Linked DNA regions of Saccharomyces cerevisiae S288C. The protein of the gene in region 2 interacts with the protein of the main gene of each other region in a pairwise test. Each region holds a gene or a part of one and is shown on either strand. Other genes may lie near its edges.

Region 1 (4,124 bases), on a different chromosome or scaffold from region 2:
ACAGTGAAGCCATACTGGGCAAATTGTGCAATGGAAGGATAGAGTTAATTTGGTCTATGTACACTGCGAGAAATACGCAACCATAAATGAAACGCAAGTTATGAAAAACCGGATCCAACCCTACCAGAGACCAACTTTCTTTTTAAATTGTGCCAAATTTTTGCTGCCCTTTAAAATAGAACTTCCTTATTCTGAGCCGTCACACGCCTTAATGATAATCAGTCGATCCGATTTTTCAATTGTCGCAATGACCTGAGAAATATAATTGCTCGTGTATAGTGACTTATTCGCCAGCAGGTGTACGGTATCTTTCATCAGTAGTAAGTATTGTTTAATTAAATATTGAATAATAAATATACTAACAGTAGCTCATACATAACTTTAGGCGCGCACTTTCATCACACAGGGTAAAGAAACCAGCCCTGGGTGAGAAAAACTAATAATAGTTAAAAGCATTAAATATATAAATATGGCCTTGTTCCGCGCGTTTAGCATGGCGACTATTCGCTTTCCTCGGTATAGGGCTTGTAGATGCTGACTAAACTATCGTCATCGACAGTACCAACCAAGTTTTCAATAACTGGATGCCAAGCGGCGGTGTTTCTTCTTCCAATCTGTTTTGGAGATCTTCTGCTTCCACCCTTGTGCAAGAATCTCAGAGATTTTGTTTGTGATTCTTCAGTGGCATCTTGAGGAGGAGCAATGGTATCGTCAGGATTGTACTTTGACAAGGAATAGTCAGTGTTCCAGTGGTAAATATTACCAGTGCCGCCCACAGTAAAGAATTCAGAGCTTGAAGTGGCAGAAAATTGGACGTCGACAACAGAATCACCGCCGGCATGATAGAAGTTAGCGATTTCATTCTGAATTGGATCTTCACCGTTTTGTCTATAAGTCAAATCAGTGGTGGCAGCTTCAGCCGCTCTGGCATCCCATAACTTGATAATACCCGTACTGAAACCGGTAACAAACAAGTTGTTGGAAACCTGAGAGCAATCAAACGAGGTCAATTTTCCGTTCTTTGGTTCTCCCAACACCCATATAGGCTTGTCGGAAGTTCTAGTGTCCCAGAACCTCAGAATATTGTCATCTGAACAAGACGCAAAGATATGATTGTCGAAAAATCTTACGGTGTGAGTCACAGTGGTACCAGGCACATGAACAGTACGTAGAATCTCACCAGGCTTACCGGCATTGTCAATGATTTTCAAAATACTGTCTTCTTCATCACCATTACTCTGAGACTTCACAATGGTTTCGGTATCATTGGAAATGCCGAAGTCAGAGATGGCTAATGAGAAATCCTTTTCAGGTAGATCACCAGGTCTGGTTAAAGAATGGATGCTGGCATAGCTGGTTGCTGGACCCATCAATTCCTGTACAATGTGAATAGGGACCTTTATACCCTCTTTGAACCAAGCCAACGACCCGTTCTTAGACATCGACAATAATGTAGTTTCTCCAGTCTTATCTAAGTAGGCCATTTTGGAGACAGTTTCACCCTGGTACACGAATTTTGGGCTCAACGAGGTGTTTTCAATACCTTCAAAGGCGTCACCATAGTCTTTCACCGGTTCTGAAGCGGCTTCTTGTAGTGGTACAGCGAAGTCAATTTCGTAGATATCACTACCTTGAGAGTATATAACACTTGAGGTTAGAGTGTTATTTTTTTTATCTGGAACAACAACGTTGCTGAACGTCAAGGACTTCCTTTGGTGCAGAACATTGTCCACACGAGACACAAATTTTGGTCTTAAGCTGGAGATATGTTCATAAGTGGAAGGCGTAGATGATTTCCAAACCTTTTTTGGCATTTTTGGTTGTAATGTATAGTGTGTTACAATTTATTTGTATCTTTCAAGATTGGTTGATTAATAATTAATTTTCTTATCTAATATCTACAATTCAGGCGAATATAAACTTTTCGGATCTTCTTTTTTCCCTCCCTTTATACTGGAAGCTACAGAACTGAAAAAAAAAAAAAAAAAACATAGAACATTAAGGGGACAGACTGCATGGAAAAGGAAAAGGTAAAAAAAAGCCCCGAAATGGTACTCTTAAATATGAGATGATAAACGAGGATTCGAAGGAAAATAGCCCAACTATCTACGAGTTGAAATTAAAAGGGAGTAGTGAGCGCCACTATGTGTGCTCACTGTGTATAGCTAAGCAATTACATAAGGGATAGTACATAAACCACCGTATGTTAGGAAAGAGGAAAAAAAGGAAAGACAAAGGTCTTTTGCCTATTGTATGACTTAGCCTTTCTTTGTTATACCCCGGCGCGTTCCAAAAAGGGAAGCCAGCACAGCACCGCATATTGAATACCGCCTTCTCACGTGGTACAGGCACAACTATCTTGCATGTGCCTCTGGGTCTTTCTTAGCGACAGCCTTTTAAGATTCTGAATTGTAAACATCGAGCTTCATCCGAGAAACGAAAGAGGGAATCTTGAAATGGACTATGTCACCATTAGATCCTCCCTCTTCTCCATATAGCCGGTTTTTGTCTTATTTCTTTGCTGGAAAGAAAAAAAAGAAATTGCTTGGTTAATTACTGGTAACCCTCTTTTCTTGAGGCCTTACTTCGTTGGCTTCAGAAATCTGAAAGAGTCTTTATTAGGAGCGATACCAGTATCTATACAACATTATACCATCACTATATATTACAAAAAAAAAAATAACCCCGATAGCGTGCTAGAAATGAATAAAAAAAAAAAAAACAGAATTATGTACGTGAATGCTTGTGAGTTACTGCCTTTCCCATAGGTGGTAACGTTAATTTCTTACTCTTTTTTTTTTTTAATCGTCGTAACCTCTGCCAATGAAGTCACTGGCCAGAAATGGTTTGTAGGCAGTAACAAGACTATCTGAATCAACAGTGCCAACAAAATCATTGATTACGGGGTGTAGCGCCACAGTGTTCCTCTTCCCGAATTGGTTGCTCGATCTTCTTGTGCCACCTGTGTGGAAAAATTTTAAACATTGACCCTGAAGTTCCTCCGGAGCAGCCACTCGAACTTCGTCTTCGTTGTCATCGTCGTTTCTTGAAAAAGAGTACTCCATGTCCCAGTGGTAGACATTACCCGTTCCTCCAACCGTAACAAATTCTGTTGCAGAGGTTTGTGAGAACAGGATATCGACAACGGAATCGCCGCCAGAATGGAACAACTTGGCTATTTCGTTTTGGATCGGTTCCTCGCCGTTCTGCCTATGTGTGAGGTCAGTAGTAGCCAGTTGCACAGCACGCGCATCCCATAGCTTGATGACACCCGTGCTGAACCCAGTGACAAATAGGTTTTCAGTAACTTGAGAGGAATCGAAGGACGTTAGTCGTCCATTTTTCGGTTCGCTTAGCGTCCAAAGCGGTTTGTCCGCTGTTCTTGTGTCCCAGAATCTTAAAATGTTGTCATCTGAACAAGATGCAAATAAATGGTTGTTAAAAAATCTAACTGAGTGAGCCACGTTGGTCCCTGGAACGTGCACTGTACGTAATATATCTCCCGGTCTATCGGAGTTGTCGATGATTTTCAAGATGCTGTCCTCCTCGTAGCCGTTACTTTGTGACTTTACTACCGTATCCATATTTGTCGACACATCAAAATCTGACACTGCTAATGAACCTGGTCTGGTTAGAGAGTGAATACTAGAGTATCTAGTAGCAGGGCCCATCATTTCCTGTACGATATGAACGGGAACCTTGATCTCATCTCTGAACCATGCCAAAGAGCCGTTCTTGGACATCGCGATCGCCGTACTGTCGTCTGAGCTTTCCAAGTATTGCATTTTTGCCACTGTTTCGCCCTGGTAAATCCACTTTGGGCGCAATGGTTTCCCCTCAACATCTTGGAAAGCATCACCATACTCTGGATTTGGGGTGGCTGCAGACTTCGTCTTGCCGTTACCTTCTTCGTCGTCGTCGTCGTTGTCGTCGTCGTCGTCGTCGTCATAGAATGTCTTTAATGGTAAAGTAGTGTCTATTTCGTAAATATCACTACCTTGAGAATATAAAAGACTAGTCGTCAAGGTGCCCTTGGATTTGTCTGGAATAATCTCACTTCTCCATGTCAGTGTCTTGCTAAAATGTAAAACATCGTCGACTCTTGTGCTGAATTGTGGTTTAAA
Region 2 (3,673 bases):
ATTTCAACGTCTGCAAGTTACGATAACATCGACGACGATGAATTTGATGCAGATGCAGATGGCTTTGACAGTGAAATGGATGCTAATAATGTGACCAACTTCAATGTTCCTGTGGAAACAGAAGCAAATTCGAATACTCGCAGGCGTTCTCATATGGAAGAACAAAGAAGACAAAGAAGGGAGATATTAAGAGAGCAGATCAAAAATAAAGAACAGCAGAGGAAAAGAAAGCAACAACAAGATAGCATCCCTGACTTAATCGATCTTGACGATAGTACTAGCACCACGAATAATATAACAATAGACAATGGTAATAATGACAACAAAAACAATAATATCAACAGCAATAGTGATGATGATGATGATGAGTTTGGCGACTTCCAAAGCGAAACGAGTCCCGACACAACAGCACCTAAAACTTCCAATAGTAAAATAGATGATTTGCTTGACTGGGATGGCCCAAAGTCAGACACAGATACCACCGCTGCTGCGCAAACATCATTGCCCTTTGCGGAGAAAAAACAGCAAAAAGCCCGTCCTCAGGCTACAAAGGACAAGTCGAAGGGAAATGATGCATTTTCCGACTTATTCTCTTACTCCAAGTCGTTGGTCTAATCACCAAATACCCCTTCATCTCCCAATACATTCAATACAGTCAACAAATTTTCATTCTCAGATATATGTATCCATATATACACTAATAATATCTTACTAAAAACTTGTCTATTTCCTTCTTCAAATGTCAGTTTTCTTTTTATTGAATATCAAAAAAATATTATATAGATACATTTGTATATGTCATTATCCATGCAGAAGAAAATACTTAAATACTTAAGTACACAAGTATTTATTGATTTGCTATTTCGGTCTTGGCAAGTCCCTTGGCTACGTCATCTACACTCGCGTCATCCTCTTCCATATACTCGTCGCCTGTGCCCACCACGCCTTGTTCAAACATTTGCTTACCGGTTAGCTTCCCATGATGAGCCTTCATCCTTCTCACCTGGTCTCTTTCATCCAGTTTCAGTTCTTGGCGAAATTTAGACCTCCATTCCAAGTACGATTCTCTTGTGACTTTAGTACCATGGAACTTGGCCTGTTCCTTCTTTTCACGTTCTTGTGCTTCCAGCTCGTACTGCTTCTCGAGCTTATTCAATTGTTCACTATACCATTGCTCACATCTTTCTTTTATGGATGAAATCAATGCAAAACACATTTGCATACCCAATAACATATCGGTTTCGATTTGCGATTCTAATTGTACGGTTAATTCAGGCAAGTACCCCTTAAAGCTTATTAAATCTGGCAGGTTTTCAAACTTTTTCAGTACTTTATTACCATGGTCGTCATATTCAACCTCGTCTTCATCTTCCTCGTTATCTTCTTCGTTGTCATTGAGGGCTACTTCTTGAGCTTCCAATGAAATCAGGCATGGTTCGTCAGGGTAGTTTTCTGGTAACTTGAATTCGGCGATTATAGTGTGCTCTTTGGTTAAAACAGAAGTAGAATCACCTGTATCCAGCTCTAATTTAATGGCTACTTCAAATTTAATCTTTGGGTATTCATCGTTTATGATCCTCAGTTCATCAGGATAAATGGACTCTAAAACTTCTAGTTCCTGCTTCTGTTCTTCCTTATAATCCATAGTATTAACAAGTGCCTTCTGGATATGGAGGGAGGGCTTTTCCTTAAATTATACCAACCGACAGCATGGGAAACTCAGCTCTTTAAAGCCAATCTAACGATGCCTGCTGATTTTACAATTGGAAAATAGAAAATTTTCATTTTCCACCTTCTGTTACCCGAGTTTATAGACCTAGGATTTCCAATCATTACTTATTAGGACATTCGGGAAAAATATACATATATGGCCCACTTCTCTCACATCTCTTTTAGGGTCTGTGCCAATGGCACCCAAATTTTTCTTCTTTCTTTTTCGCTCGTATTCTCTCACGCTCTTGATCAGTGTGAGCAGTTACTAATATACTGGATCAGAGAACATTAACTCAAAGGTTGATAGTGTAGATCATTGGACATAGTGTGACGGTTTTGCACTCTTGTTGCGCTTGCTCTCTTAACAAGTCACATCTTATTTAGCCTCTTCACCCATAAGTTGATTGTAAAGCCGTAGAACCCTATATCACAGTCTCTTCGGCAACTCAACCAATAAGAACTATTAAGGATTAACACTAGCCATGATGCCGAATGTTGCTCCAAACAGCTACTATTTAAACATACCGAATGCCAATTCGACCTCAACGACTACGTCCTCGATCTTTTCTGATCTCAACAAGGAGTACGAGTCAAAGATTAAAGAAATCGAAGAATATTATATAAAGACACTGCTCAATGAAAATACCGATAATGATGACAGCAGCAGCTCCGAGGGGCATAATATAAATGAAACGGACATTTTAAGTGAATACTCACCAAGGCCTTCTCCTTGGTTACCATCCAAACCAAACTGTTATCATCCGTTGGGAGATTTTAAAGACTTGATCATATCAGATTCCAGACCTACAAATACATTACCTATTAATAACCCTTTCGCAGGCAATAATAACATCTCAACACTTGCTACAACTGAGAAAAAACGTAAGAAAAGGTCACTCGAAGTTGAGATTAACCCTACTTACACGACAAGTGCATTTTCATTACCCCTGACAGCGGAGAATTTACAAAAACTATCTCAGGTGGATTCTCAGTCTACTGGACTTCCATACACACTTCCAATTCAGAAAACAACAAAACTGGAACCTTGTAGAAGGGCACCTTTGCAGCTTCCTCAATTAGTCAATAAGACCTTATACAAAACTGAGCTCTGTGAATCTTTTACTATTAAAGGCTATTGTAAGTATGGAAATAAATGCCAATTTGCTCATGGTCTTAATGAACTGAAATTCAAGAAAAAATCAAACAATTATAGAACTAAACCTTGCATAAATTGGTCGAAGTTAGGCTACTGTCCGTACGGTAAGCGTTGCTGTTTCAAACACGGTGATGATAAGGACGTTGAAATATATCAAAATGCTAACGATGGAAGAAGTAAGGATACGGCGTTGACTCCACTTCCTACTTCCCTAGCCCCAAGCAACAACGATAATATCACTAATTTGAGTAAGCCTAGGAACTTACATACTAGTGTTAAAGCATTGCAAAGGATGACTTGGTAGTCGGTCAACAACAAAGCCCTTTGAATATTTGGCGTATTTCTGCTGCCTCTCCTTATTTATTTATTCATTATCGTTTTCATATTTATTTCAGTCACAAAACAAAATTAAAGAATTCGTGACCTACTAACATGAGAATTAGTTAATTTAATCTTTTTAGTTTATTTATTTCATTAGGTAGAATTTTTTTTTCTTTCTCTGATCTTTCAGTGTTACTCATCGGTGGCAAACGTGTTTACAGGACTAAAAATCGAAATAATGATTATTATTGTTCTTAATTTACTTAGAGTTATTTAGTTTTTTTAACTATCGTAAATTGCCAAATGATCGGCTTTGTGGTACTCTATGTCTTAGAGACCTTGTAGATACGGACCTTCTCGATGCGCTAAGTCTTTTACTGGAGCTCTTTGTATTTTCGCCGGGCAATGGGAAAATCTTTCCTGAATACATATTATCTGTTGGATCATCAGCGATGTCCTCTAAACTTATCCCTTGCATGTTCC

What was found.
Region 1: the proteins of CTH1 (region 2) and WTM1 interact in a two-hybrid assay, tested with the Saccharomyces cerevisiae proteins (one study listed by BioGRID).

Annotation. Positions count from the first base shown.
Region 1 is NC_001147.6:768,490-772,613, reverse strand, and holds WTM1 (transcriptional modulator), read right to left. Parts: upstream 1,815-4,124; coding exon 501-1,814; downstream 1-500. Other genes in the region: mitogen-activated protein kinase kinase MKK1, read right to left, coding at 1-13; WTM2 (transcriptional modulator), read right to left, coding at 2,802-4,124. UniProt on the Saccharomyces cerevisiae protein: Transcriptional modulator with roles in meiotic regulation and silencing.
Region 2 is NC_001136.10:763,678-767,350, reverse strand, and holds CTH1 (putative mRNA-binding protein CTH1), read left to right. Parts: upstream 1-2,195; coding exon 2,196-3,173; downstream 3,174-3,673. Other genes in the region: ENT5 (Ent5p), read left to right, coding at 1-615; GIR2 (Gir2p), read right to left, coding at 848-1,645; NUM1 (Num1p), read right to left, coding at 3,477-3,673. UniProt on the Saccharomyces cerevisiae protein: Binds to specific AU-rich elements (ARE) in the 3'-untranslated region of target mRNAs and promotes their degradation. In response to iron deficiency, promotes the decay of many mRNAs encoding proteins involved in iron-dependent pathways.